4 linked regions of the Alligator mississippiensis genome follow. The protein of the gene in region 3 interacts with the protein of the main gene of each other region in a pairwise test. Links are inferred from orthologs where the notes say so. Each region holds a gene or a part of one and is shown on either strand. Other genes may lie near its edges. The genes, in order: MLX, L3MBTL2, TLE5 and SOX5.

Region 1 (7,659 bases), on a different chromosome or scaffold from region 3:
TCTAACCCAGTCCCTTTATCACTACATACTACTCAGAAGAAGCTTATTTTTCAGAGTCATTTGCCCCCAGCAGGACCTATTCCTTACCCAAATCCTTCCTGCATGCCTAGCCTCAGTTCAGCCCATTCCTAATATTCCAGAAACCTTTCCAAGTGCAACCTCTTCTACCCTTCCCACTCTCTTGGGATAACAAGAGTATTAACTTACTGCGTATAAGATTTATCACTACTGACATCACCAGTGGTTGTGACATCATAGACAACCTTCCATTGCCATGGCGCAGTTGAAAAGCACTCTGTGTTCACGGACAGCAGGACAGCATTTACTCTCCAGACTTGAGAGTGTACAGTAGCTGTTGTAAATCTCCCTCTCTGTGATGTCCATGCAGACTCCTTGTTTGATCTTCATGTTTCCCTCCTGGCCAGGCAGCAAGCTAGGTATATACTTCCACCTTCCTCTGATGGAAATAACATGATTTTCTCTGTATTTTCTAAACTTTGACAAACTGACTAAAACTGGAGCCCAGGTAGGAGTTTCCTCAGACACTGGAACAGAAAGATGGGACATCAGCTGGTCCAGGGGTTGGATGCCTTTGAGAAAATGTAAATCCTGGTCTCAGTTTAGTGGCTTAGACTCATCCCAAGCAGCAGATAGGATTGATGGACAAGACGCTGACTGTGACAAGGCAGCAGGCCAGCTACTTGGGAAACCAAAGAGAAGGGAATAAAACTTGGTCCAGTTTAATAAAAAGACTTGGTGTTTCACAGGATCCACAACAGGGAAATGATGAAAAAGGCCAATCCCCAAGATATCTCACCTGTACTCTGTATTTTTGGAGGGGCAGAGAATTGTTATTGTTTTGCCTGCATGCCAAGCTCTCTTGGCCTCTTTATGGACTTGAATCAAATGAAAGTGAACTCACTCAGTTCAAGCAGCAGTTCTTCCTTTCAAGGGAAGGACTGGAGGTCACATCTTGAACCTATCTAATTGAGCTCGAAGTGAGAAAGGCTAAGTTAGGCCATGAGGATATAAAAGATGCCAGATAGAAGAGAAGGAGGTTGACAAAAATGCAAGACAAGACAGAGGCATAGGAGGAAGGGAGTGGAGAGGACAAATCAAAAAAAGCCTAAGAAAAGTAGGGACAGTAGTAAGAGATTATCTAACATAGTAGATAATTAAAAGAACTGAGTAGACAAGATGAGTGGCAGAGAAAAAAGATGATCCAGGAGGTATGAGATAGGAAAGAAGAGAGAGCCTGAGAGAGAGCAAGGGAGGATGAAGGGAGAGAGACAAAAAACGAGGTTTGGATGTGTAGGGATTGAGAAATGTGCTGTAATGGGTCTTGGGTCCTCCACGATCCACTGGCTGGAAAATTGGCTCCGGGGTCGGACCCAGAGGGTAGTAATTGATGGAAGTCACTCATCGTGGTGTCCTGTGACCAGTGGGGTCCCCCAGGGCTCTGTCCTTGGACCCATACTGTTCAACATCTTCATTAATGATGTGGACACTGGAGTCAGAAGCGGACTGGCCAAGTTCACCGATGACACCAAACTTTGGGGCAAAGCATCCACACCAGAAGACAGGCGGGTGATCCAGGCTGACCTGGACAGGCTCAGCAAGTGGGCGGACGAGAATCTGATGGTGTTCAACACTGATAAATGCAAGGTTCTCCACCTTGGGAAGAAAAACCCGCAGCATCCTTATAGGCTTGGCAGTGCTATGTTGGCTAGCACTATGGAAGAAAGAGACTTGGGGGTCATCATTGACCACAAGATGAACATGAGCCTGCAATGCGATGCTGCGGCTAGTAAAGCAACCAAAACGCTGGCTTGCATCCATAGATGCTTCTCAAGCAAATCCCAGGACGTCATTCGCTCCTCGTACTCGGCCTTAGTGAGGCCGCAGCTGGAGTACTGCGTCCAGTTTTGGGCTCCACAATTCAAAAAGGATATGGAGAAGCTTGAGAGAGTCCAGAGAAGAGCCACGCGCATGAGCAGAGGTCAGGGAAGCAGACCCTACGATGACAGGCTGAGAGCCCTGGGGCTCTTTAGCCTGGAAAAGCGCAGGCTCAGGGGTGATCTGATGGCCACCTATAAGTTTATCAGGGATGACCACCAGTATCTGGGGGAACGTTTGTTCACCAGAGCGCCCCAAGGGATGACGAGGTCGAATGGTCACAAACTACTACAAGACCATTTCAGGCTGGACATAAGGAAGAATTTCTTTGCTGTCCGAGCCCCCAAGGTCTGGAACAGCCTGCCACCGGAGGTGGTTCAAGCGCCTTCATTGAACACCAAGACGAAACTGGATGCTTATCTTGCTGGGATCCTGTGACCCCTGCTGACTTCCTGCCCTTTGGGCAGGGGGCTGAACTCGATGATCTTCCAAGGTCCCTTCCAGCCCTAATGCCTATGAAATCTATGAAATCTATGGCACAGCAGATCATGGCTGTCCAATTGGCAGCCCATGGCCCACTGCTGCCTGGCTGCTGCTTCTTCCATCCCTCCAGCTGCAATAGCAGTAAATTCTCTGTGCTCCCCTTTCTTCTTCCAGTTGCCAGAGCCATGGCAATTAACACTAGCACTGCTTCTCTGCTGCCAAGTTTCTGGACCCATGGGGAGCCCCATGGGCCAGATGATACAGCTCTATAAGCTGGATCTTGCCATGTGAAGAAATCCTCCTCAGTCTGTCTCACCTCTGTATTAGGACAGCCCAGGCCACTCTGTTTTTTCCTGTTTTGGTCAACCTGATCAACTGCCTAGTTTTGGTCAACCTAGTCACCTAGGTGCCTGGGCTGTAAAAATTCCTAGGGAGGGGGAAGCTCGCTCTTCCTTTGTCCTGAAGCGGGCATGTGGGGAAGAAGACAGGCAGTCATTCTGGGAACACAGACACAGAAGGATGTGCCTCCATGAGAGACAGACTCTCTGGAAGATTTGTAAGTAGAAATCTGGAATTTGGCTATTTAGAACTAAGTTTTCAGCTGTATGTTAAAAGGGCCACAAGCCCATATTTGAAAGGCTCAATTGATTCTGTTTTACTCAAGGCATTTTCTTTTAATATTCCTTTGTCCTGTACCCCTACCCCATTCTCTCCATCTGTGGTCAATAAAGCTATCTGTTACAGCTCACCTAGCTGTGTACTCTTGAGGGAAGAGGGGAGAGACAAGCCTTTTTGTTCTCTTTGCTCGGCTGAGCTGAGGGGAGTTTGGCTCTTTATTAACTAACACGGTCCTACCTGAGATTATCCTAGGAAGCTTCAGGCTATAAGGAGCACCCAGAGATATTACCAAGGGACCAAGCACCCCCAAAGCTGTCTTTATCTGTGTATCCCGGGCTGCAAAGAGCCTTAACAGAGACCAGTGCCCAGGTGGTGGCAGCGTTACCCCAGGCTTGTGGGTGTGCTCCAGGAAAGGGGATGGCCAGACATGGAGACTCCCAAAGCATGGTTTTGGGCCTGGCACAGTGAGGTGGGTGGCTTAGCATAGTAGCACCCCTTACTGTCCTGCCACAGCCCATAGGCCACTGAGCACCAGTGCTCTAAAGAGATAAACCAGACCAAGGGAGAGGGGCTCTTGGCTAGTGCGGGCTGATCTGCTGGAGCCTGCCCATGTGGGGCAGCCCTTGCAAGTGCAGCCGTACAGCTCTGTGCAGTCTGGTGTCCTGAGCCAACACTTGCGGTGTGGGTGCAAGCCAACTAAGCACTGTGACATCGCTCCCTCATACAGCACTGGCACGGTGTCACACGCCTGTTTCACAGAGCCATGCGTCTGCTGCCGGTGGCTCCCACGGAGTTCCCTGTGTAATCGAGCAAATCCGGGCTGAAGGAGATGAGGCTGCAGGACAGCAGGGGAAGGCGCGAAGGGGCCACGTGACAGGACAGCATGGGCAAGCCTAGAAATTTGCAAAGGGGAGCGTGGGCCGCCAAGCGCCTCATCCCCCGGGATCCGATTTAAAAAGAACCCCCAATTTTCGGTTAAAAAAAGGAACCCCAAATCCACATTTTTCCGTGATTTAAATGAAATAACAGATAGATAGATAGATAAACTATCTCTATCTATCTATCTATATCAGTGGTGTTTCATTTAAATCACGGAAAAATGTGAATTTGGGGTTCCTTTTTTTTACCCGAAAGTTGGGGATTATTTTTAAATCGGAGGAAACCAGGATCCCTGCTCCTCACATAACACAGCACAAGCTTTATGCAGCTAAAGAGACGCTGGAAGCGCTGGGCTCTGCCAGGGGCCTAGGGCCGGAGGGCTCCGTTTAAGATGCATGCAAGGCTTCATTGGGGTGAGGTAAAGCAAGCTGCGGGGCGGGAGATGGGAGCTGCGGAGCCGGAGAGCAGCTGAGGGGCAGCGGCAGGGCAGAGCGGCCCCTCAGCTGAGCCCGTCACCCGCAGCCAGACTACAACTCCCATCGGCCTCCGCGGCCGGGAGAGGCAGCTCCCGGAAGTGCCGCCCCACGAGGCCAGCGGATGCTGTGATTGGTTGGCGCCTCGGGAATCATATGACGAGGCAGCGGGAAGATGGCGGAGCCACTAGGCGCCGCGGCCGAGGACCCGTGGGGAAAAGTGAGTCTCGGGGGCTGGACGGTGGCCGGGATGGGACGAAAAGCGGGTGGGAGCTCGGGTGCTGGAGCGGGATCCCGCTGTCCCCGCTCCGGGCCCCCGCCACGAGGCGGCGCGGCCGGGCCCGGGGACCCGCAGGCAGGCGCCGCGGGGCCGCCTCAGCACGGGGGTTGAGGGTGCTGGAGACAGCGAGCCACCTCCCAGCCCTGGGGAGCGTCGTGCACGGCCGTCTGCCTAAACAGCAAATAATCATATAATCATATGAAGCAAATAACAGGGGGGAATTGTCGGCCAGTCATCTCGGGGCAGACACAACTGCCCAGTGCCCAGCCCCTCCCATTAGTCTCCGAGGGCATAAGTGTGCATCCCTGTCAAGACGGTACTGCAGGTTCCCAGAATAAACTGCAGTAAAACAAGGACGTGCCCAGTGTGCTGCCCAGCAGCACGGGCATAGCAAATTGCGCAGCAGCCTTGTTTGAGAGAGCAGCTGTTCTGCAGAGTGGGCTGTGGGGAGTCGACAGGCCATGGGCTACTTCTGTTGCTGACACACAGTAGCGTGATAGTTGATTGCGCAAAAGAGGAAACTGCCTTACTCACTGGCTGGCTTTTTTTCTCTTCTCTTCCCTTTTGCTTACACTGTCATCTGGCAACACAGCAGGTGGACTGTGTGTACAGCGACAATGGACTGGAGGCTCGTAAGTAGCTCTGTGCATTCCTCTTTCAAATATTGTCGGGTCAACTCTGCTGTTGCCAGACAAAAGAGCATAGATGAAACAGGCAGGGCACGCCAGTTTCCTGCATCATTTTAACGCTGGAAACTTAGCGCAAAGAATAATATGTGCGGAATGTAGGTTTTGTAAATATAAGCGGTGCATGGATTAAAACTTTAAAGGAGGGTTTAAATTAAGGGAAAGGGACGACTTGAACTTGTAAAGAATGATAAATGGATGTTTTTGTCTAGCTCTGGGACAGCGGTGCAAGCCAAAACGTGTAAGTAACAACTGGAACGTAGGGAGAAGGAAGCTTGAGATCTGCTGTCACTGCAGTTTGAGTGATCACACCCAGGCTGAGTGGTGCTGGGTGGGAAGTTATTTTTAAAACACGCAGTCTCTAATCTGATGATGCCTCGCCATATTCTCAGCTTTTTAAAGCAGAACTAATATCTCCCTTGTATCAGAGGCATGCAGAGTACGGGCCAGTTACCTGCTGAATAAGCTTCCCTGCTTCCGTGTTTTGTCCATGTTAAAGATTACAGTGAATCCCATTGGGGTTTAGCTGGTTCCTTCACAGCTCCTGAAAAATCTTTGCTGTCTACTTGTTGCTAAATCCACAAAACACCTACAACAGCAAACAGATACTAATTCTTATAGCTGGCTACCCTGTGCTTTACCCACCTGAGCTGAGCACCACACTGTATCCGTTTGGAACATCCCCTGGGATTTGAGATCCTTGCTCAGCTCACTGCTTCATGCATGACCAGTATTTTCTCTTCCAGCACTCTTTGTGGAAAGCAGTAGAAAGGGAAGCATAGTATCACGAGCGAACAGCATTGGCTCCACTAGTGCCTCCTCTGTCCCCAATACAGGTAAGGGCCATGGTGTCCCTTCTCCCTGTCTGTAGGTTAGTCCCTCCCTCAACTTGTCCAGCACTTAAGATGCTTTTGGTGCTCTTTCTCACTTATTTCTAACATGTGTTCTTCTCTGGCAAAAGCTGCTCACATGCAATCGCAGTAGCTTCCCTTGCCAGCTTGAGTATATATGTCTTTCATTCAGCAAAGGAGGATGGTGGGGAGCACCAGGAAGGTGTCGCAGTTTCCAACGAGACAGTTTGATAAGGCACTCCTGACTTGGGGCAAGGAGAAGAGTTAGTGTGAACAAATGGCCTGGCTAACGGAAATACCATCAAGAGAGTACTGAGCACCTGCCCTCTGAAAGAAAAAGACCTTGGACTCCAGCTTCCTGTTTTAATGCCCAAGAGATCTTCTCATGAGAATCCTGCCTACATTAGCCAGGGGCTTTGGCAAAAATGTGTTGCCCAGCTGCCTACTCACACCATGCTCTGGTGTAGGCAGCTGCCAGCAGGCCTGCAATGGCTCTGGGAGGTTCATCTTTGCCTTGTTTGTGCCCTGTTTGCAGCTTGTCTACCCAGTCAGTAATTGTGTCTGGGTCTGGACCAGAGTGCATAAAATGATTCCAGGAAGAGCATGCTCCCCCATTACCTCTGCACGTGCAGCTGCATGTCTGCCTCTGCTTCCTAGGCTCCAAAAGCGCCTGAGTTCTCTTTGACACAGTGACTCTTCTTCCGTTGCAGATGATGAAGACAGCGATTATCACCAAGAAGCCTATAAAGAGTCATACAAAGACCGGCGCAGGCGTGCACACACCCAGGCAGAGCAGAAGAGAAGGGATGCCATCAAGGTAACATCAGAGCAGCTATCAGACTGTTCTCTTGGATGGGAATACAGTTGGTCCTTTCCTTTTGTTACATACCTATAACGCGGGCATCCTGTGGTATCAGCATTCTTATTTCTCCCACATCAGGACACCCATATCCTTTTAGTTATCACAGTCACTGTGCCCCTAAACATTTGGCTTACTGGGGGCAGGTTATCAGCCCTGAGTAACTGCATCCTAGATGCCATATGAAGGAACTGGAGAGACAGCTGGGACTTTGGCACCTTATGAGACCACCTACTTGGCCACTGCCCTTCTGTCATGTGGTTTAATCTAAAAATGCCTGTAACATCATCTCTTCCTCTTGAACAGAAAGGCTACGATGACTTGCAGGCTATTGTGCCTACATGCCAGCAGCAAGATTTCTCCCTTGGCTCCCAGAAGCTGAGCAAAGCCATTGTCTTGCAGAAAAGTGAGTTGGGGGCAGAAAAGGGGCACATTCCTACCTAACCACTGCATCACTTTGCATCTATGCTGGGAATTCATGCTCCTGCAGCCACTGAGTGGGACACCAGCCATCCAGAACTAGACTGCAGTGAGGCAAGGGATGTCCCCACTTGCATTATTGTCCCCCACCCCCCATCTTTGGACTTTGAACTGCTGTTAGTGTTTTTCCCAGGACTTGCTCAGCATTCTGCTC
Region 2 (8,107 bases), on a different chromosome or scaffold from region 3:
GTCTTAGAAAAGTTTATTAAAGAGGCCGTCCTTAATGGACTGGCCAACACCAACATCCTGAGGGATAGCCAGCATGGGTTTGTTGTGGATAGGTCTTGCTTGACCAATCTCATTTCCTTCTACAACCAGGTGACCTATCACTTGGACAAGGGAGAAGAGATTGCTGTCCTATATCTTGACTTCAAAAAAGCCTTTGATCTGGCATCCCATGATCACCTCTTGGTGAAACTGGCCAATTGTGGCCTTGGGTCCACCACAATCTGCTGGCTGGGAAATTGGCTCCGTGGTCAGACCCAGAGGGTGGTGGTTGACGGAAGTCAATCGTCATGATGCCCTGTGACCAGTGGGGATCCCCCAAGGCTCTGTCCTTGGACCCATATTGTTCAACATCTTCATTTAATGATGTGGACATTGGAGTCAGAAGCGGACTGGCCAAGTTTGCCGATGATGCCAAACTTTGGGGCAAAGTATCCACACCTGAAGACAGGAGGGCGATCCAGGCTGACCTGGACAGGCTCAGCAAATGGGTGGACGAGAACCTGATGGTGTTTAACATTGAAAAAATGCAAGGTTCTTCACCTTGGGAGGAAAAACCTGCAGCATCCTTATAGGCTCGGCAGTGAGACTTGGGGGTCATGATTGACCACAAGATGAACATAAGGCTTCAATGTGATGCTGCGGCTAGTAAAGCGACCAAAACGCTGGCTTGTATCCATAGATGCTTCTCAAGCAAATCCTGGGATGTCATTCTCCCCTTATATTCAGCCTTGGTGAGGCCGCAGCTGGAGTACTGTGTCCAGTTTTGGGCTCCACAATTCAAACAGGATGTGAAGAAGCTTGAGAGAGTGCATAGGAAAGCCACGTGCATGATGAGAGGTCAGGAAAACAGACCTTACGATGACAGGCTGAGAGGTATGGGGCTCTTTAGCCTGGAAAAGTGGAGGCTCGGGGGTAATCTGATGGCCACCTATAAGTTTATCAGGGGTGACCACCAGTATCTGGGGGAAAGTTTGTTCACCAGAGCGCCCCAAGGGATGACGAGGTCAAACGGTTATAAACTACTGCAAGACCGTTTCAGGCTGGACATAAGGAAGAATTTCTTTACTGTCTGAGCCCCCAAGGTCTGGACTAGCCTGCCATCGGAAGTGGTTCAAACACTTACATTGAACACCTTCAAGAGAAATTTGGATTCTTATCTTGCTGGGATCCTATGACCTCAGCTGACTTCCTGCCCCTGGGCAGGGGGCTGGACTCGATTGATCTTCCGAGGTCCCTTCCAGCCCTAATGTCTATGAAATCTATGGGGCGGAAAAAAACCTCCAAGCAAAATAAATTGAATCTCTAGCAAGGCAAGGCAGAGGTCCAAAGGAGTACCTACAATACAAAGAACAGATGGTGGGAACACCAGGCAAAGGAGATTTAACATCTTGCTGGTATCCACAAGATACGTGGTTATTTTTAATGTGACCCAAAGCTATCTACAGTCTGAGCACTCAAGGACCAAACCCTTTGAGACCTAAGATTGGAAGAGACCTGATCAAGGAATGGGGAGCCATCAGTGCCCATTGGAAGGAGCATTTTGAAGACCTCCTCAATTAAGACACTGTTGTTGATGAGAGGTGTTCTCCACTCCATCCCACAACACCCAGTCAAAGAGTATCTTGGAATCCCTCCAACCCTTGATGAGGTGAGGAAATTCATCAAGCAGGCCACTGGAGTTGATAGAATCCCTGCTGAAATCTTCAAGCAGGGGTTGGGGGACAGGGGCAGAGAGGCGCTCACGTCACAGCTCCATGCCTTCCTCACCATTCCAAATCTTTAAGATGAAGTGCCAGGTGACCTTAGGACTACCATGATCATGACAAGAAAGGTGACAGGTCTGACTATGGAAACTACAGAGGGATCACCTTGCTATCCACCACAGGAAAGCTTATTGCAAGAACCCTCCTGAACTGTTTCCTTCCACTTGATGAAGAGCTCCTCCTGGAATCTCAGTGTGGATTTAGGGCATTAAAAAGCACAACTGATATGATCTTCACAGCTCACCAGCTGCAGGAAAAATGCTGGGAACAACATAAACCTATCTACATGGCCTTCTTTGACCTCACAAAAGCCTTCAGCTCTGTCAACCAAGAAGTGCTATGGAGGATCCTTCTGAGATCCCACTGAAATTCATCACCCTTCTTTGCCCGCTACATGAGTGGTTTTCAGTAACGGATCTATCACTGCTTGAGGTTAAGATGGGAGTTAAGCAAGGCTGCATCATCACTCCAACACTGTTCTTGATTTATTCCTTGTCATGATGCTACATCTGACTACCACCAAGCTTCCAGCCAGAGTAGAGCTAAACTACCAAATGGATGGTAAACTGTTTTTAATCCCAGACAACTCTGAGCCAAAACCAAGACCAATCGAGCTTAATCCTCAAGCTGCAGCATGCTGCTGATGCTATAGTCTGCGCTCTCTCGGAAGCAGACCTTCAGGCAATTGTCAACATCATTACAGAGGCATACAAGAAAGTGGGACTGAAGCTTAGCATTCAAAAGACTAAGGTCGTCCAACAACAAGCTCTTAATAGTAATTCAGATTCATGGTGAAACTCTTGAGAATGTTGAGTATTTCCTGTACCCCAGAAGCATTTTCATGTCAACCTCCTGTATTTCTTGTCACAGGAGGTTGACATGAAAGAAATCCAACATCACCTCAAATGTGCAAATGCAGCCTTTGGATGCACTTAAGGAAACAGGCGTGCAAAGACTGTGTCATCAGATCCAAAACCAAGCTCATGGTTTATCAATCAGTTATGATCCCCACCTTTTTTGTACAGAGCTGAGACTTGTGTGGACAATGTAGAGGAGACTCCTCAAGTCATTGGAGAAATATAATCAATGCTGCCTGCAGAAGATCCTTCAAATCCAGTGGGAAGATGGACCGCACCAACATTTTCTGGCATCCTCTCGCAAGCAAATACTATGAGTACTGAAGTGATGATCATCTGACACAAACTTTGTTGGGCCAGCCACATAATTTGGATGTCTGACACTTAATTCCCAAAGCAAGTTTTATTCTCTGAGCTCAGTCAAGGCATATGCTCAAAAGGAGGGCAGAGAAAGTGCTTGAAGGATGTCCTCAAGGCCAACTTGGAAAAAATGCAACATTAGCAGCAGCTCATGGGGAAACTATTGCCTAGGACCTCCCCAAATGGAGGAAGAGTTTGCTGCAAGAATCTCAATACTTTGAAACCTTATGACAACAGGAGATGGAAAAGTGGGAGTCGCAGAAACAGTGCATCACAGACAATCAAGAATCTGGAGCCACCTACCCCATGCAGAAACACATGCCTGAGTTGTGACAGTCTGTTGATCCTGCATTGGCCATCTTCAGACCCACAGATGAGATATTAATGGAAGACAGCTGTCCTTGACTGCGATGGATCGCTGAAGAAGGGGACATGGCTCTGGCCCTCTACCTAGGAGCCCTTAAGCATATATAGATATTTCATGAAAATGGGATGTTCGCTGCTGTGGTTCCCCTGCTTTACCTGGGGCTGGTTAGGGTGTTGGGTCAGGACTGACAGTAGTCTTGTGTATATGGAGTTTAGATTTTGGATCGTATGGGATAGTTGGATACAGATGATCCTGCCTCAGGCAAGGGGTTGGCCTAAATGATCTCTGGAGGTCCCTTCTTCTGTATGTGTGTACATCTGTGTGTGTGTGCGTCTAAAATAGCTGCATCTTAGTTGGGATATAAGGCATACCCTTCTTGAATTCAAATCACTCATTCCTTCCTACATAGCTTTCTTCTGTCCTGTCATAGTATCTGATGGAGTGAGCTTGATTTCATGAAAGCTCTGAGTAGAAAAGGGGTAGGCCTTGCATCTTTGCATATAAAGTACACCTCTGCTCTGCCTTTGGCCTGACTTGAGACTAAAGATGACTCTCTGCTCAAGGAGTTAACTTGATGTCTTCCTGCAGGCTGCAGTTAGCTGCTGCTGCCTCCTACTCCTAGCCATAGTGCTGGCCTGTGCAGCACTAACCTCTTAAAGAAAAGAAAAGGGTGTTTTTTTTGGGGGGGGGCACAGAAGAGAAAACAGGTAAGCTGCCCCACGGGGCCTCTCACACTGGTGGCTTTGCCTCAGGCCCTTCGTCTCTCCAGCTTTGCTGAACACCACCACGGCTGCAGGACTGGGCTTGGCTCATTTCTCAACCCACCAGTCACAACCCAAAAGCGGGTTGCAAGAAAGGGTTGCAAACAGACTTTAAAAACGGAGTCTCCTTCAAAGGAGAAAAAAACATGGGACACCATGGATTTTTTTCCCTTGCAGGCTGGCAGAGATCCAGCCAGCAAGGGGCTACTTGCCCCCCTCCCCAGCCACCCTACACAGTGGGGGGGCAGCGGGTCCAGAGTGAGGGGCGCTGGGTCGGGCCTGGCCATGCATGTTTACAAGTGGGTCCTGGTACAAAGCCGGCTGAGAACCACTGCTCCGGGGCGCCAGGGCCCTCATCCCATGTGAGGGGAAGGGAGGGGAGGGGGGCTTCATGGTCTGCAGGCTTCTAAGGGCTGGAGGTGCTGCGCTCCCTAGCGCCGCCCCGTGCTCGCACCCCGCCTCACAGCTCAAGCCCGCACCTTGCAGCCTGGAGCAGTGGCCGACCGCGCAGGCCCCGCAAGAGCTGGAGGGGGCGGGGCCAGAGCCCGGAAGCTAGCAGCCTGCGGCACGGGGCAGCCTTGACGCTCTCCCCCACGCCGCGCAGGGAAGCAAACTACGAGTCCCAGGATGTTGTGCGGCCAGACTGAGCGTTCCTTCCGCTGTCGGCGTTTGCAAAGCAATCTGCCTGGCGATTGGCGGGCGCGCGGGGGCCGGCGGCCAACCAGCTGCCCCGATGTATTGGGGACAGTAAAGCTAAGGGGGCCCGAGGTCCCGCCATGTGAGTGCAGCGGGCCGGGCCTGGCAGGGTGGGGAGCGCTCGGGGCGCAGGATCCCGGCGATGGCGGCCACGGAGCAGGAGCAGGGCGAAGTAAGGGGCGGCCACGGGGCCGGGGCTGGGGATGGGCTCGGGCCCCCTTGGAAGGAGCGCGGGACTCCCCGGGGGGCGGGGCGTGGAGCCCTGCGTCACAATCGCTGCCGCGGAGATTCCACGGTCCCGTGGGGGGGCGGAGCGTGGAGCCCTGCGTCACAATGCCACGGCGGAACCCGCCCCCCCGGGGTTCTTCCCCGACAGGCCCAGCGAGGCCCTTGGGAGCCCTGGGCTTCCCCCGCGTCTGGGAGGTCCTGGCTGCGGGGGGCAGGAGCCCTCTCCTGGGGCTGCGCAGGACGAGCCTTGGGTGCAAACAACTGGCACTAGGAGATGGATCCGTGCACGGGGCCCCTGCTCCCCTTTACATGTGTGACACAGATGATGGGCAAACTGCACAATAAATGTGGTGCAAAGTAACACTTATGCCATCAAAATGGCCATCCTATAAGACCAGCCACTTACTGGGTCAGACATCTTGCCCAGGGTCCTGCATACTGTATCTTTGCCCAGTCTCTTGGGTCCATGTGGGCACCAACATGTGGATAAGGGTAGCAGGGAGGTCCTGGGACCTAAACTTAGGCAGCTAGGTAAGAGATTGAAGTCCAGGACCTCTGAAAAGCTTCTGGTGCCATGCCTGGGGCCAGATAGGCAGGCAGAGCTCCAGTCTCCTGATGTGAAAGAGCCAACCTGCTCCCAGGGTAGTGCTTGACAGCTCCATAGCTGGTTTCTATCCAGCTTTCATCTGAACACACAGCAGGCCCTGTGTTCTGTGGCTGTTCTGCTCTTGCTCCTCTGGGCGGCAGAAAGATGCCCGGGCTCAATGACCAGCGCTAAAGAAAATCTCATGCCACTGCAAGCACCGCACAGGAGAGAGATCTCGTGGGTGCAGAGCAGTAGGGCTGCTGGCAGTGCTGACTGGTGGTGATGTTTCCTTGCTGGCTGCTGCTGCTGTGAGCTCCTTTCTCCCTGTGACTGCATGTCTGTGCTTCTGCTCTTCTCTCCCTTGCCCCTCTCATTGCTGAGCCTCAGTGTCTGTGCATGAGCTCTTGGCAACAGCATATCTCCTAACTTCCTTAATCTGTGTCCAAAGCACAGCTAATCACTCTTCCTTCTCCCCTCCATCTTAAAGACAGGCCTTTTGTGCATCCCCTGATTTGCTGTCCCTGTACTCTTGCATCTCTTTGCTGTATGGATATAGCTGTACAAATAGATCATGATGAAATCACAGGGGGAAAAGGACTTTGACTGATACTTATTTAATACTTGAAAATGAAAGTTGTCTGGTTTTCCAGTGCAGCTCCTGAGCCAAAGTCAGCCCAGGGAATGTGATGGTAATAGAGTGTACAGCTTTTACTTTGTTAGAAAATGCACCTCCTTGCTTCAAGGCCATTTTTTGATCCACTGTGTCCCAAGCTGTATTGGGGAGGGTTAAATAGCATGGAGAGCAGCAGCTAGTTACTGAAATAGATCATTTGTGCTGACAGCTCCTCTCCCTGCTGGGCCACCCTGATGACAGCACAAAAAATGTTTTCTAGTGGGTGTGAAGAAGACCAACCACTGGACAGGAAAGTGAGTGAAAAGGGGTGGTCTCTCTCCTTCCCTATGAATTCATACTGACCCCTCCCCACTCAGGATGGTTTCAGGCATTCTGGCTTCTTGCTCCTGGGTCACAGAATCATAGAAAAGTAAGGCTGGATGGGACCTCTGAAGGTCTTCTAGTCCAACCCCCTGCCCTATCCAAACCATCTGGTACAAATCCTTGTCTAACCTGTTACTAGAAGTACACAACCCTGTTGCACAACCACAATGCACAGCACCTTAACCTGCCACAGGTAGCGCAGGGGAACAAGGGTGGTCCAGTGTCCTGTTGCAAGGGTTGTTAACATGCTCAAGAGATCCTAGGAAGAGGGCCACGCGCCTGCTACAGAGGAAGGCCAGAACTCCCCCAGCCCATGCCAGTCAGGCCATGGGATAAAATTCCTTCCTGATCCCAAATGTGATCATTGGTCTGGCCTGGTGTGGAGGGGCAAGACCCTCTAGTGAGGAACCTCCAACTATTTATTAGTCCCAGTAGGAGCATTGGTACACCCAAGTCAAAATCCCAAGCCTTGGCTGCAGCCACTTCCTTATGCTTGTGAGGAAGGCAAAAAGAAAATTCCCTGAACAGGTGCAGTAGCAACAGAAGTGGGGAAATAAATTCCTTCCTGGCTTCATGCAGTAACCAGTGAAGCCCAGAAACATGGGAAATAACCATAACGAGCATAGGCATAGCTATTTCTAGATTGTTCCTGATTCATGCTTATCCAAACTCTTGAAAACCTCCAATGATGGAGATCCCACAATTCCCTAGATAGTCTATTTTACTGCCTCAGTGCTTTAACAATGAAGTAATTCTTCCTGATATTTAATCTAAACCTACTTTGCTGCAGCTATAAGCCATTGGTCTGCCTCCTGCTCTCTGCTTCCAGTGTCTTTCCTGTGGTTGCCCTTCTGTGACTATGAATCTTCTTTTCGTCTGGGAGAGATGTGTATGAGGGGTAAAACATTAAGGAAATGTGGAGCTGGTGGGAATTCTTCCTACCAGGGAAGCTAGTGCTGGCTCAAGGGTCTGGTCCTGGTATCCTGTGATTGCCACAGCCAGTGACTTGCTCCTGAGGGCCAGGCTTTACTGCATAAGGCAGGGATGGGGAACGTCCGGCCTGTGGGCTGGATCCAATCAGCCAGGGACTCCATTTCCCAGCTGCCCCTGCCCAGATGGCTTGTACCGGTCTTTATGGAGACCTCTCACGCCAGCAGCGTATGCGGCAGACAGCACAGGGGGCTGCTCCATTGCTGCCAGGAACGTGGGATGGGGGCAGCTTGCTGCGGAGCTGCGATCTGTAGCCTGCTGCAAGGAGCTGGGGCAGAGCCACGATCCCCTGGATGTGTGCCTCTGCACAGAGCGTGCAGGCTACAAATCATGGCTCCGCAGCAAGCTGCCCCCGTCCCACATTCCCATCAGCTCTGCTGGCATGGCTGAGGTCTCCATGGAGACCGGCACAAGCCATGTGGGCAGGGGCGGCTGGGAAATGGAGTCCCTGGCCAATCGGCAG
Region 3 (7,290 bases):
TCTTTGCTGCGGGGCTGTCACAATGTTCATTAACATGGCTGTGCCCGAGAAGACACTCCAGGACAAGGCACAGTCGGTGCCACAAGACCTCAGCCCTCTAGATTGTGCTCTTTAGAAATAAATATGGCAACGGCCTGGTCCCTTCACTGCAGCCCTGGGAGCTTTGCTGGAATCAGAAAAGGCACTGGTTTTCTGAGACAATGCATCAAGCGTCTGAAATGGGTAAGAGCTCTTCCCCCCCTCCACACACACACCCATGCACACACTCTTTGTATTGTGCTTGTTATTCTTGGCCTGCGTCCCTGAGTCACAGGAGGGACGCAAAGAACCTGATCCTGCTGACGTGAAGGCACATGCTTAGTTCTGCATGCCTGAGGACATGCTAGGAAATCGGTGGCACAACTCCCCTTGCAAAGGTGGAACCACAGTATGCCTCTGGATTGGAATTTCCCGGTGTAGTTTGGATCTAGGATCTTGGCACAGTTTCGATCTAGGATCTTGGCGTAGCTTGGACCTAGGGTCTTGGCACAGTTTGGTCCTAGGGTCTTGGTGCAGTTTGGACCTAAGGTCCTGGCGCAGTTTGAATCTAGGGTCTTGGCGCAGTTTGGATCTAGGGTCTTGGTGCAGCTTGGACCTAAGGTCCTGGCGCAGTTTGAATCTAGGGTCTTGGCATAGCTTGGACCTAGGATCTTGGTGCAGTTTGGATCTAGGGTCTTGGTGTAGCTTGGACCTAAGGTCCTGGCACAGTTTGAATCTAGGGCCTTGGCCTGGTCCCGGCAGAGGGGCAGAGACCAAGTGTTAGCAAAAGCAGCAGCCAGCGCTCATCCTGTGCCCATCTCTCACCTGTGTAACACATCCCGAGCTACCTGGGGTGCCGTGGTTTCTTGCTGTGCTGTATTTCAAGGCCACTCACAACTTCCATTCAATGGTGGGGACAGAATTCGGCACTCAAAATACCCAACTGTACTTTTACCCTGTATCATCTACTGCACTCAACATCTATTTTTAATGCCAGGCCAGGTTTAGTTTCTCCTTCATTTCCCAGCGGTACCAGGGCTCTGCCTAGAACACGAATTCTCTGGAGGATTCAGGTAGATGCAGGAGCCGGTCCAACACCCTCCAAACTGTCGGAGAACCCCTCTTGCTTCCAGGGCAGTAAATAGGTGGTGGGGACTGGTCAGGAAGGTAGGTGGGGACTCAGCTTCGAAGTGAGCTGGAACCCCTTGATCTCCAGTCAAAGGCTCGGCCGTGAAGCTCTGCCTTCATCCAGGGAACGTTTCCATGCAAGCCACTGCCTTTGTCGACGAATCTTCAAGGCAAGCGTGGGTGTTGGCTTTCATTCCACTGTTTCCAACCTGAGTGAATGGCTGTGTCCTTGCCCTGGTACAGCTGCGTACCTTCCCCACGTGGGCTCCGGATGGGTTCTGTTACGTGAAACAAGCCTTGGTAATTTCTCTGTTACCACGGGGCGGTCATTCGTCTCTCTGAATCCGCCGTCAGCGATTACGCTGCATTCAGCTTGACCCTGACATTCCCGTTCTGTTCATCTCCGGCCAGCAACCTGAGCCAAAGGCCTCATGGAAGACGTGCGTCTCGGCCCCGTCTGCCCACGGATTCAGGGAGTCTCTCCTGCTCGTGCCAAGCACAACGCCCAGTTGTTATTGTGCGGGTGACACTGCAACACTCACAGAGGCATGTGGGGGGGTCAAAAGATGATGGTGTCTGGCTGTGGACTCTCCATCCTTGGAGGTTTTTAAGACCCAGCTAGACAAAGCCTTGACTGGGATGATGTAGTTGGGGCTGGTCCTGCTTGGAGCAGGGGGTTAGGCTAGATGTGACCTCCTGAGCTCCCTTCTCACCCTCATTTTTTATGATGCTGCATGTCCTGCAAGCTTTGCCGCCGCCTGGCCCTGCCTGTCTGTCTGTAGGTACTCAGGTTGCAAATATTTTTATTTTTGCAAAAATCTAGTTGGTTTTATCACATCTACCATGAGTTTTGATTCCTTCTGCCTGTCTGTCTGCATTTTTAACTGGGCATCCTTCGGTTGTTTCCCCACCTCCAGCCCTGCAAACAGTCAGCCTTTTGCAAACCCTAACCCAGCCCTCACTTCTGCCCATGCCTCTATTCCATATATCACAAGGATCTGGCCTCTCATTAGTATATGCCAATTGCTTTAATACCCAACATCAGGATCAGCAGTCTCATCTGCCACCGGATGTCTTGGAAAGAAATAAGGTGCATTTCCCAGTTGACTTCCTGGCCTGGATCGCAGCCTGGTAGGCATCCCGCAGCTTGGCGACATGGGGCGATGGCGCTAGGCGCTGCCCTCGAGCCCTCTCCAGTCACATACAAGCGCAGGGTGCTTCACCCTCAGGCCGGTCGGTCGTAGCTCTGGATGGTTGGGAAGTGCTACGGCTCCCTACTCCCAATCCCTCCTGGGTTCAGCTTGAAGGATTGAGGACTCCTGCCCCTCCGAGATACCAGGATTCTCCGCGCCAAGGGCACCGTCACTGGACTGTTTTTGGGCACCGATCTGAGACCACGCATTGAGCTTCACCAGGCGCCACGTGACCTTTTGCTGCCTTCCCCAGGCCCGCTGCTTCCCCGGCCTTCTCGGACACAGAACAGCGTCCTTGAGTCAAAGTCAGGGGAAGTGAAACCCCCGCCCAAACGGCACGTGCTGCTCCTGCGGCGGACGGCATGAGAAAGCCAGCCTGGCAACACTGCCTAATGGGGGAGGATGGCTCTGAGCTGCCGCGGGGACCCAGCTAGCAGCGGGTAGAGTTTAAGCCAAAGACTCCCTTTCCACCCAGCACCACGTGCTGCAGAAGCGACACCCCTTGTTGGACAAGACCAGTCTTTACTCCCTGCCCCAGTCGCCTCCTCTGGGTCCAGGCTACAGAAGGTGACAGCCCTGCCACCACTCTTCATCTCCTATTATGGCCCATGGGAAGCGGCCAGGATCCAAGCCCTCGGACCCACGTCCGATCCCTGCTCTAGCCTTTCACCCAGAGACAAGGTGCCCTCATAGCTCCCCCGATCTTGTCTTCCCCGCTCTAGGCCAAGCCGCACGGCAGGACCACATGGCACTGCTGCCAGCTAGCAGGGCCCCCACGCGGGCCAGATACCGGCGGGCCACACACGGGCAAGGAGGCCCTCGAGGGCAAGCTCCAGCGATGGGGGCAAGAGATGCCCGACGGTACCCAGTAAATAGGGGGCTGCTCTACCCCTTGCAGTGTGCACAGAGGAGGGGGCCGTGCGGTCCCCCTGCCTGCCCTGTGGCCCGTGTCATGTCAGGGCTGCTGACGGGCTTGTCTGGGGTGGTTTGGAGAGGGCTGATCCCTGACCCTCCCTACCCTCGAGGAATCTCTCTAGGATTGAGGAGTCTCTTTAGGATTGAGGAGACTCCCTTGGACGGAAGAGTCTCCTTGGCATGGAGGAATCTCGCTAGGACGGAGGAGTTTCTTTAGGATGGAGGAGTCTCCCTAGGATCCAGAAGTCTCTTTAGGACCTAGGAGTGTCTGTAGGATCAAGGAGTCTCCGTAGGATCCAGAAGTCTCTTTAGGACCTAGGAGTGTCTGTAGGATCAAGGAGTCTCCCTAGGATCCAGAAGTCTCTTTAGGATCTAGGAGACTCGGTAGGATTGAGGAATCTCCTTAGGACCTAGGAGTCTCTTTAGGATCGAGGAATCTCCCTAGGATCCAGGAGCGTCTTTAGGATCCAGGAGTCTTGTTAGGATCTACAAGACTTCTTAGGACTGAGGAGTCTCCCTAGGAGCCTCTTTAGGATCTGGGAATCTCCCTAGGATTGAGAAGTCTCTTTAGGATCAAGGTGTCTCTTTAGGATTGAGGAGTCTCCTTAGGATCGAGGAAACTCCTTAGGATCTAGGAGACTCCCCAGGACGGAGGAGTCTCCTTGGCATGGAGGAGTCTCTTTAGGATGGACGAGCCTCCCTAGGATCCAGGAGTGTCTTTAGGATCAAGGAGTCTCGTTAGGATCTAGGAGACTGCCTAGGACGGCGGCGCGGTGCGGGGCGGCCGTGGGGCAGGCGCATCCCCCGCGCCAGGCGCTGGCCCGGAGGAGGCCCCAGGGCCGAGCCGAGCCGAGCAGGGCCAGGGCCGGGCCCGGCAGGCGGTGCTGATCAGCCGCAGGACAGGAGCCCGCAGCCGCCATTAGACAATAGGAGCGGCCGGGAGCGGGAGCGGCAGCGGGAGCAGGGCCGGGGCCGGGGCCGAGCGCGGGGCCGCGGCTGCGCCGGGGGAAGCGGCCGGGTGCGCCGCTGCGGAGCGGAGCGGGGCGGGACAAAGGCGCGGCGGAGCCGGCTGCAGCTGCCTGGTCCCGGCCCACGGAGCCGCGCGGGGACCCGGATCGCGGCCGCAGCCTGACATGATGTTTCCACAAAGCCGCCACTCGGTACCGGGGGGCACGGATCGGGGGGGTGCACGGATTGCGGGGTGCATGCGGGTTGGAGGGGGGGTGCATGGGGCGGGGAGGGGGGTGCGTGGAGCAGGCCGGCCGGCCGGCCCCGCTGCAAAGCCTGGCCGGGCCCGGGATCGCGGCGGGGCCGGGCGCGGGTTGGGGGGGGGGGGGGGTTGCACCCCGGCTGCCCCGCTCCCCGCGCCCCCTCCCCGGCCGGGCAGGAGCGGTGTTGCCCTAGCCCCCCTCTTCCTCCTCCTCCTCGCCCCGGCTCTGCCTGGCGTTCCTCGCTGGGGGAAACGCTGTATTTCCGGGCTGGGAGGCCAGGGCCGGGCCTGGGGAACGGGTGCAGGCGGCGCCGGCACAGCGCGGCCCGGTGCCTCAGTTTCCCCACCCGTCGTGGGGGGTGCGGCGGTCTGGGGAGGCCGCCGCTGACCTTGACTGTGTCCCCTCGCTCCCCACCTGCAGCCGGGGGGGTCGATGCCAGCACGTCTCGCAGCCGGAGCCCCCTCGGGTGCTGCCGAAGGGGCCGTTCGGCAGCTGGGGGTGGGGGGGCACCCGCTTGCAAACCCCCACCTGCACCCGGGGCAGGCGAGGGCGCAGGGATCCAGGCTGCGAGGCTCTGCCCCCCCACCCAGCGCTTTCTCCTTGTCGTTCAAGGGCTCTTCTCACCTGCCACAGCAGCTGAAGTTCACGACGTCCGACTCCTGCGACCGGATCAAGGATGAGTTCCAGCTCCTGCAGGCGCAGTATCACAGGTACGGCAGCCGAGGCCGGCCTGGCGGGCACTGCGGTCGGGTGGTGTTCGCGACAGGGTCTGCCAGGCCTAGCCCCCCCCTACCCCGGGGAGCTGGCTGCATGTTGCCTCGGGGAGGGCCCCCCTCTCTTCTTGCCATGACTGGTGCTCTCAGATGCCGGAGGAAGGGGCTTGGGTTCGGGAGCCGGCGGCCTGTCTTTCGCTAGCTTTAGCGTCAGAGCAGGGCTCGGGGTGCCCCCCTCGGAGGTGTTGCCATGCAAAGAGTGTCAGGTAGAGAAACTGTTGGACAGACTCGGCAGGAATAAAAGCAGGATCCCTGCAATGTCTCCCCGCTTGGCTCTGCCTGCGGTCTCCGGGGTATTGATCCCATCGGTGGGGACGGTTCTGCACGCACAGGTAATCCCTGAGCAAGAGAGTGGGCAACATGCGCTGCCCCACCCCAGCTTGCATTTGAGGGCCTGAGAGCAGGGATTGCCAGGGCTCAAGAGATTCCCCAGCTGGAATGAGAAGCAATGAGCCCAAGTTAAAAGATATCCCAGGTGACCCTGTAGCTAACTGGAGATGAAAGCATTAAATCTCCCCTTCGCTGGGCCAGGACGGGGAGATTAGACCAGCCCCTTGTGAATCTCTGCTTAGTTTCACATGCCTTTCTCAGGGCTGCAGTGTTTTGGCTGCAGACGCTGGGAGGAAATGCTCCTCTCCAAACCCTTCCAGAGCCATCACTATCTGCGTCTTTTTTTGGGGTATTGAAATCTAAAACGCCGGGCTTCAATTTGCCAGGCGAGAGTACCCTTAATTATTAGGCCTGGCTTATTTCATGCCCTCCGATACGACCTCCCATAGCTGCCCATCCGTCGCCGACGTTCCCCGGGTCCTCCGTGTCTCGGCCTGCTTCCTGCTGGATGCCAGGAGCGCGGGATCCTGCCCGCAGGGCCCAGCGGCTGAGGTGTGTGGCGGCCCGAGGTCGCTCATCGGGAAGGCCGACTTTCCAGCGTGCCTCTGCTCTGAAGCCGTGCCAGCTGCGGGGCCCGGGAGCGCTAGCAACATATCCGCAGTCACCGTCTTTCAGCAGGAGACATTTGCTGGGTTTAATCCGCTGGAAGAGAAACGGGCTGTGTGCGAGCAAAGCTGGTTCTCGCTGGAAATCCAACCCCCCCCCAGCACATGATGGCTGAGCTCCCGACTGCCAAAAATCACCGGGTTTATTACATTTAAATAGAGAAAAGTAGTATCTTCTGTTCTCTTTTTTTTAAGGATGTTTGAGTTCCTGTTGCTTTCCCACAGAGCACCACAAAACCTGTTGGGAGAGGTGGCCTTGCAGCTGTGCCGTAGTCCTCATTACGTGTCTGACTTATTAATAGCACAAGCATTTCTCAAATGTTGCAGTTGGACCCGTGTCATGGCCCTGTGACCCCTGACTCTACTTGGGTCCCAGCTGTGGGATCAGACCCAAGCCTTTCTCATAGACAAGAGGTCAAACTCTTCCTCCTTCCTGCCTTTTCTGTTCCAGAAGATGGAAGATTGGCTCTTGGGTAGCTTTTTGGAAGACCTCGTGGCTGGGTGGTCTGGTGTCATTAGCATCGTCTTAATTCTTCTATCTAGGAGCATCGGTTATGGACCGCGGGGCTAGGTGCTGTACAAAAAAGCCCCAAATTGTTTAGTCTTGCAATAGTATCTAGGGGTCAAGCCGTCGTGCTAGGTGCTGTACGAGCCCGCAGGAAACGGCTGGCGACGAGGGGAGTTGGTAGCAGGCCTGGCTCTCGGTGCTCCCGTCTCTCTCTGCTCTTTCAGCTTGAAGCTGGAATGCGATAAGCTGGCCAGCGAGAAATCGGAGATGCAGCGTCACTACGTCATGGTAAGGCCCTGCCCCGGTGGCGGGGGGCAACGGCGGGCCCCGTGCGATGGGATGTGGGGCAGGCTGGCGAAGCAGGATGCTGGCGCTTGGGTACATCTGATGACAGGTGTCCTTCCCTTCCCACCCCCTCCCCTGCGCCCAGCGGAAGCAAGACCTGTGTCGGGTTTGTTTGAAACGGGGCTTTCCAACTTCGCAGGTTGCAAACAGAGGTCATTTCTTCTCCCTCTTCCCCATGCTGTGTTGCTGGTTAGGGAGTGAGAT
Region 4 (7,283 bases), on a different chromosome or scaffold from region 3:
GGAACTGGTACAGACCCAAAAGAGGTAGAAGTCTCCAACAACTTGCAATATTTCAGTACCGTGAATCTGAATTAACCTTTGGTTCAACCTTGAACCAAACCCTTGTGTAAACCTATATGGATCTGAAAATTACCACATACAACAATCTCTAATGTCTTCGAGAGAGAAAGAAAAAAGTGGAAGGAAATAAAACCAAAATTACAAAAGGAGAGTTTATAGTATATTAAACAAAACCTACACATTGTAAAAGGTCACTCCAACAGCCTGAGGCCCAGTTATATAGTACTTTTGCAGGCATGGCTCCCATTGCCATCAGTGGGAGTATTTCCTGGCCCGTTCAATGAACACCAAATTGTTTGTATGTAGAAGAGAGGAAAACATACTTCACTGCTAATGAGAAAAGAATTCTTATAATAATACTAATCTATTTATAATGGTCAAAGAATATCATGGCTTCCACCAACATCACTGCAGTGTTTTGGCAATATTGTAGCATTCTGCTGTATTTTTTGGAAGGATCACTCATTACTTTCTCTTGAATCTTAGAACATGTTTCACAATGCTGTTTTTCAATTTATCCATAAATCTACATCACAGGATTTTATATAGGTATGAGCACTACGGCAGAGGCAAAGCTCCTCTTACACATACTGCATTAGGATACTGCCAGCACCACCAACCCACACTTATTGGTGCTTTGTTTCTTTCATACTTTCCATACTAGTATTTAAAGTTACTTGTAAACTTATTTCAGGCCTAATTGTAGAACTTTAGGATAACTATCTGGGAAGAACTGTTTCCCAATCCTGAACATTAAGAAATTATCAATATGAGCTAAATCTCTGGCAGCTTAACAATGCTGATCAGCCTAAACGAGCGGGGCAAGTCATACAAAATACGAAGATGCAGTAATATAGGATAATATATAGGATAATATATATATATATATATATAGGATAATATAGGATAATATAGGATAATATGCTGGTTAGGCACCAGCATATTATCCTAAATGTATGCATCTCAGACATATGCCTTACCATTTCAGTGTTTACTAGTAAACATCTAAAGAATTACTGAGTGATTCTTGCCTGCTACTACAAGATCATGACAGCAGAACAAGTATGGCCTAGGAAAACTTCTGTAAACAGAAGCATAACATTATATAGGGAATATGTATATGCTTATATTTGCTTTCCAAAGGCATGTATTAGCTTCCAACATTTATAAAAACTTATGCTAGACTAAACTGAATGCATCTGCACATACATGTAGTTGAATGGAGTTAATTTGAAATAGCCAATCCATCTCAAATGTCAGTTTGTTTACAAGAGATGTTTGTGGCTTTCAAGTTCTGTGTCGCACACAGTGTAGCGCTCAACCAAGTGAGTTTAAATGCAACAACAAAAAATCTCTGATATAAGATTTCCATGCATAATAGCCAGGTTTTCATTGTCAAATTATGTAGTAATATACATGCTATCCATTGAACAAAATGATGCCAGCCTTTCCCTTTTATGAGCACAGAAGAACTTTACAAAACAAACATTGTGGCTGTAACCTTGCTGGATCTCAAAACACAAAACTTTACCCCTTCAATCCTAGTTCCATATTTGTAAACAGCACAGTTTACAGGAAGAAGGATCTACCTTTGAGGCAATGATATTTTCTACCACTGGGAAGGATTAAGGAGCTACAGAAATCATGACAGATACAGTATCCTTCATCAAGCAAGTTTCTGGGGCTACAATACTTGGCTATCACTTGCTGTACAAAGCCCAAGAAATGCCCCTGGCTCAGAAGAATCTGATTTTTAAACCTCAGCTGCTGACTTTAGCTAAGTAGTGGGCTGCGAGCCGAGTTTAACACAGGAGGAAGAACCAGGCCGCTGTGTTCTGTTGCTCTGCACCTGGAATAAGGTGTCTTCCCTGGATGTGAATAAAGCAAAAAACTGAACATATTCCTTGAAAGCAAGGGGGAGGCATCCTTCTAAAAATCCATCCCCAAATTTTCAAAAGCGTCTAAGGCTAACATTTGGTTTGCCTAACATCAGAAACAACCTAGGACCTCCAATCTGCTTGGCATCTAGCTCCTCAGTGGTTGCCCCCCCCCCCCGCTTGCCTAAAATCCTGCTCAAGCCCCTTTCTTCTTTTCTGCTGATGGATGTGCTGACCGCCTGCATGCCTCCCACATGCCTCAGTTGCCTTGGGCTGCTGGTGGGGGTTAAACCAAAAAAGCAAAGCATAGCACAGCCAGGCTGAGGGCCCTTATTTCTAAGTACTAAGGAAGCAGGTCCCTCGTAGGGGAGGATTCCCACACTTCTTACCCGCGGGTGACTATTGGCGCTCTCCCCGGGGGCTGCTCATCACCTCCCCCTCTAGAGTCAAGTCCCTTAACTTTCCGGCCATCAGTGCCTGGACCAGGCAGAGTCGGGCTGGGGGAGGGCTCCGCGCACTGATTGGTAGAGGGGCTGGTTTCTTCCCCCCCCCCTTCCCTTCTCTTCCCTTCCGCACCTCTTGTCTCCGGGGCCCGCAGCCCAGCCCAACCCAGCCCAGCCCAGCTCGGGGACCGGCTCTGCTCCTCGCCCTGCAGCGCGCCGCTGGGACGGATCCGAGGGGGGGATCGGGGCCGGGGGAAAAGGCGGGACAAGTTGCTCCAAACTTTGCCAGCCCCCCGCAGCCGCCCGGGGCCCCCGGCCCTGCCCCCGAAGTTGGCCCGGAGCCGGCCGCGCACCTACCCGCCGTGCGGAGCGTGTCCTGGCCCGAGAGGGAGGCGGGAGGATGCTCGGGGCTGGGCAGAGGGGGCGCGGGCTGCCGCTCGGCCCCTTCTCCCGCTCTGCGTGCGCGCCTGTGCCTCAAGGACGAGGTGAAATCCCTGCGCTGGTCATGAGGCGGCTTCAGAGACAAACACCACAATGCGAGTGCAAATAACAAAAGGCAAAAAAAACCCCACAGAAAGAGAGGGAGAGACAGTGGGAACAATGGGGGAGGAGAAGCTTTTCTGTGCAGTCTCCAGCCACCTCCGACACCCTGGGAGCGGGGAGCTCGCACTTCAGCTCCCTTCTGATCTCTCCTAAACAAACCCTGACCTCCTTCCCGGAGCCCCCCTCGCGCCGCCCCGCCTCGCCCGCCCCGCTGCGAGCCGGCTCTGCCCATTGCGGGCGGCCGCGCTGGGCCGGGCGGACAAGCCAGTGCCGGGCTGCGGCTCTACCCCCCGCGCGCCCCGCAACTTCGCGCCGCACCGCACCGCACTGCGCGCCACGGGCGGCCGAGTCCCGGGACGGCCCGGCCCCCGCCTTTCCTCGCTGCGAGCAAACAGCCGGGAGTTGGGGGGTGCTGTTGCTGCGGGGTGTTGGTGGTGTGTGTATGTTGTTGATGCGGGGGGGAGTGCTGGGGGTGGTGGGGTGTGTGCTGGTGGACCGTGTGTGTTGTTGCTGGGGGTGGAGGGGGTGTGTGTGTTGCATGTGTACGTGCTGGTGTGAGTGCTGGTGCATGTGTTGGGGGTGTGTGCTGGGGTGTGTGTGTGTTGGTTGTTGCTGGGGGTGCTGGTGGTGTGTGCGCGTATTGGCCGTGGTTCTAGTAGTGTTCGGGGGGGGGGGGGTGTCCACAGGAGCCCCTGGCCAGGCGAGCCCCTGTCAGCGCGCTGGAAAGGCGCACGGCGCGAGGAGTGACCCCCAGGACAGGAGAGCACGGCCGCCTCCTGCTTCTGGGGAGCCTTCAGCTTCCCTTCTTAATCTTCCTTATCCCTGGGCTGGAGACTTTCCTGATCCCGACTTCTCCCCCCCCCCCCTTATTTTTTGGAAGCTGCTAGTAAGTGAAGTAGTCTGAGCTTCTTTTATTGTTCTTTCGCCTCCCCACTCTCACAAGCAGGGGAGAAACCAGTGCAATAGGCGCCGGCGGGAAAGGGGGGAGGGGGGGGAATGAATCGGAGCTGAAACAGCCACGCACTCTTTAAGAAGGTGGCGGTTTTAAAAGCATCTGAGAGTCACCGTGGGGCTCATCCACGCTAATAGGTTTGCTCCAGGGAGAGAAAGAGCCCATCGGCTTCCCTCGGCACACAGAGAAGTCCTGCCCAAAAGTTACATCAGCAGGCGGGAGCCCTTCGGCAATGCAGGGTGATGAAAGTGTGCCCAGACTTGGAGCACAGCGCAACCCACGAGCAGGTCCCAGCAATCTCCTCTACGCTGACTTTCATGTACTGGAAACAGCAGCGGATTTGTTTTTCTTCCACCCAGAGCAGGCTAAAACACACACACTCCACCCAAACAAAGGGAACAATCTTTACCTGTCACCTCTCCCCCCAAACTCTCTCTCTCTCTCTCTCACACGCACACACCCCCAAGCAAAAGGGACAATCTTTACGTGCCATCTCTCCCCCCAAACGCACACTCTCTCCCTCCGTCTCACACACACCCTCCACGCAAGCAAAGGGGACAATCTCTACCTGTCACCTTACTTCCCAAACTCTCTCACAAACGCGCACGCAAAGGGGGACAATCTCAACCTGTCACCTATGCCCCCAAAGTCTCTCTCATCCCGCCCTCCCGAGGAAAGGAGAGAATCTCCTCCTGTCACTTCTCCCCCAAAACACTCTCTCTCTCTCTCTCACACACACACACACACCCCTGTGCCTGTCCGCTCTCCAGGGGCCCGGCCGGGCGCCTGTGCGGTGACGGTGGCGGGCCGGGGGGGTGGGGCACCCTCTGATCCCTAGCTCTCCTAGTCTCTCCCCCCCTGTGAATGCCCTCCCCCCACCCCCTTCTTTCTGTCATCTTTCTTCAGAAGCGCCTCAGTTGAGCGCAGCCATGTCTCCAGGCACCCCCAGCCTTTCCCAGAGTGCAACACCACGACCCCGAGATCAATGACCACATACTGTTTACTCTTAATCCCAGCAGGACTACAATTGAGGCTGGCGGCTGGCTCGGCGGCGGGGCGTGCGCTTGCTGCGCGTGTGGATGATTTCCCCCGCTCCGCTCTCCCTTTCGGGCTGGGCTAAGCCCCACTTCGCAGACAAGCCGACTTCTGGCCGCCCGCGCACGCCACTCCCGATGCATTCACGGGGCGGGGGGGAGACAGAGAGAGACATCTTCAGATCTACACCCTGGAGCTGCGGGAGGGGAAAAGAGGCGATCCGCGTCCTTTTTTATTACTCAAGTAGGTCGGCTCTGTGCAAGCAGAGCTGGGGGGTTGTGGCTTGCTCTTGTGTTTACTTGCAAGGGGCTTTTGTTTTTAATTGATTAGTGAGCACGTGCTTTTATAAACTGCCTGAGCAGGCCAGCTTCGAGTGTCACTTGATTTGTGACAGCCAGTGGGAAATGCAGAACTCCCCCCCGCCCCCAGCCAAATCGTTCAAAGAAGAGTAACTTCGGTTATTATTAATCTCGGCTACAGAAGGCTTATCTCCTACCAATATTTGATACCGGGACGAGTCCAGTAATTTCCCTGCTTTCTCAGGGACTTAACAAGTCAGCCTTTACAATTCATGAGCATCGCAATCATTTTTTTCTGCTTGGATGCCTGATTGTATATGATCTCTTTCTGTGTGCGCATCCCTAAATGATTTTTACTCTTTGATGCAAAAGGACAGAAAGCATTAGCAGCATGGATAATACCCATAAATGAGACTTCAAACTCTCGGGGGTGGGGAAACAGAAGGGAAAAAAACAACAAAACAGCCAGAGACAGAGCTTTCTCACTCTTTTTACTTGCATTCTCCATACCTGTAAGGTAGGAAGTCCCAGTAGGAAGTGTGCACAGGTGGGGGAAGGACATGGACAGAAGACCTGATTCACCATTGTCCTGCTTTTGCTGCAACAATTTACACCATTACAAAGTAGGAGTATAATGGTACCCATTACTAAATGGTTGTATTTTAGTCCCACTGTGCAATTCTATAAAATAACTACATACAGCATAGGGCAGTGCCGGACTGAACCTAGACACACAATGCTGCTCAACTCCCTTTTCTGTAATCAAAGCCATAAATGATGGGCCTTAGGTCAGGCCTCTTCCGGTTACTCTGACTGAATGTTCTTTAGACTGCTCAGCCCTTTCAGCCGCCTTTTAGCCTCACATGATGGAACCTATTTTCCCTATAAGCACCTCAGCTCCTTGCTTGGTGATGACACTGGGTGGGCCCATTCAACGGAGCAGCATTTGAATGCAAGAAAGGAAATTCAGTGATTATTGTCAGGGGCAGGATTTAAAGAAAAAGCCAAAGAAGGGTCTCAATGCATTTTATTTAGAATCCAAAAAACAACAGGTGTAAAGATTGCATTACGCTCTCTAGGATGTGTTTTTTTCCACTTCTGCAGTAGTATGAAGACGTTCAGTGGAAAAAATTGAGTTACAAAAAGCCCCATTGGCCTGATGCCAGCTGCATTTGATCCTATCTTTATTAATGTGGTAATTTTGTCTCACAGGCCTCCATGCCTCTAGTTTTACAAACTAGTGATGTCATCATGAACACCAACTGCCTCATCTTTTTTTGTGTAGGAAGTCTCATTTTACTTTTTTGTTAAAACAAGTTACCATTTTTTTGCTGGGTGCTTTCAAATGTTTAGTCAGTCAAATTATTTTCAGTAGAACCTAAAAGATGTGTCCTGATTTCCATCTCCTCCCAAATGTTTATAAGTGTACATAACATTAGCAGATACACTGGAGTACTAGGTAGCATAGATACAGCTGGGAGAGAGGATAACATTCCTCCCCCAGACAACAAGATAAGTGTCAAATATGATTTTCATTGTGCCTTACCTACTGAAGGGTAGAAAACAGCAGACCAAAAATTATACCATTTGTTCCAAGTGCTGTTTTTGCAAAACTTGGATGGACTTTAGTTTTCAAAACCCAAAGAAGAATTGGTTTTAATAAGGTTTCAGTTTTATCTGAGCTGCCAAACACCAGGGTATTTGGATAAAAGATTTCAAACAATCACTACCATAAGCTTTTTTTTATTATTATTTTTTGGTTTGGTGAAGTTGGTTAGAAATGTACATCCAATTTCATTCAAACTCTCAGTACTTCGAGGGTGGCGGGAAAACAATTTGGGTAAATCCCCATGCCTGCACGGCATCCAGTGATTTCAGCAGTCATAGTTCATGTCACATTGCAGAATTGGGGCCCATGAGCCAAGCTTGCATGCTAGGCTATGCAAACAAATTAACTATCAGATTCCTTTTTGTTTTATCCCTCTAAAAACACAAGACTTTTCTACTGGCACGGATCTAGTACTGTCATTTACACGGCTAAAAAGTAGGTATTAATGTGATTCTGATATAGTAA

The links.
Region 1: the proteins of TLE5 (region 3) and MLX interact in binary tests that used the Homo sapiens proteins (3 or more experiments, as listed by UniProt). The two-hybrid records come from large-scale screens. The link is inferred for Alligator mississippiensis from reciprocal best matches to the Homo sapiens genes TLE5 and MLX.
Region 2: the proteins of TLE5 (region 3) and L3MBTL2 interact in binary tests that used the Homo sapiens proteins (3 or more experiments, as listed by UniProt). The two-hybrid records come from large-scale screens. The link is inferred for Alligator mississippiensis from reciprocal best matches to the Homo sapiens genes TLE5 and L3MBTL2.
Region 4: the proteins of TLE5 (region 3) and SOX5 interact in binary tests that used the Homo sapiens proteins (3 or more experiments, as listed by UniProt). The two-hybrid records come from large-scale screens. The link is inferred for Alligator mississippiensis from reciprocal best matches to the Homo sapiens genes TLE5 and SOX5.

Annotation. Positions count from the first base shown.
Region 1 is NC_081827.1:152,004,042-152,011,700, forward strand, and holds the start of MLX (max-like protein X), read left to right. Parts: upstream 1-4,477; 5' UTR 4,478-4,524; coding exon 4,525-4,569; intron 4,570-5,221; coding exon 5,222-5,261; intron 5,262-6,061; coding exon 6,062-6,151; intron 6,152-6,876; coding exon 6,877-6,983; intron 6,984-7,331; coding exon 7,332-7,431; intron 7,432-7,659. UniProt on the Homo sapiens protein: Transcription regulator. Forms a sequence-specific DNA-binding protein complex with MAD1, MAD4, MNT, WBSCR14 and MLXIP which recognizes the core sequence 5'-CACGTG-3'. The TCFL4-MAD1, TCFL4-MAD4, TCFL4-WBSCR14 complexes are transcriptional repressors.
Region 2 is NC_081827.1:97,502,297-97,510,403, reverse strand, and holds the start of L3MBTL2 (lethal(3)malignant brain tumor-like protein 2), read left to right. Parts: upstream 1-4,884; 5' UTR 4,885-4,985; coding exon of another isoform or gene 4,986-5,015; intron 5,016-6,499; 5' UTR 6,500-6,524; coding exon 6,525-6,584; intron 6,585-8,107. UniProt on the Homo sapiens protein: Putative Polycomb group (PcG) protein. PcG proteins maintain the transcriptionally repressive state of genes, probably via a modification of chromatin, rendering it heritably changed in its expressibility.
Region 3 is NC_081839.1:3,804,788-3,812,077, reverse strand, and holds the start of TLE5 (TLE family member 5), read left to right. Parts: upstream 1-4,095; 5' UTR 4,096-4,387; coding exon 4,388-4,414; intron 4,415-5,077; coding exon 5,078-5,175; intron 5,176-6,965; coding exon 6,966-7,029; intron 7,030-7,290. UniProt on the Homo sapiens protein: Transcriptional corepressor. Acts as a dominant repressor towards other family members. Inhibits NF-kappa-B-regulated gene expression. May be required for the initiation and maintenance of the differentiated state.
Region 4 is NC_081827.1:124,856,527-124,863,809, reverse strand, and holds the start of SOX5 (transcription factor SOX-5), read right to left. Parts: upstream 3,076-7,283; 5' UTR 2,738-3,075; intron 1-2,737.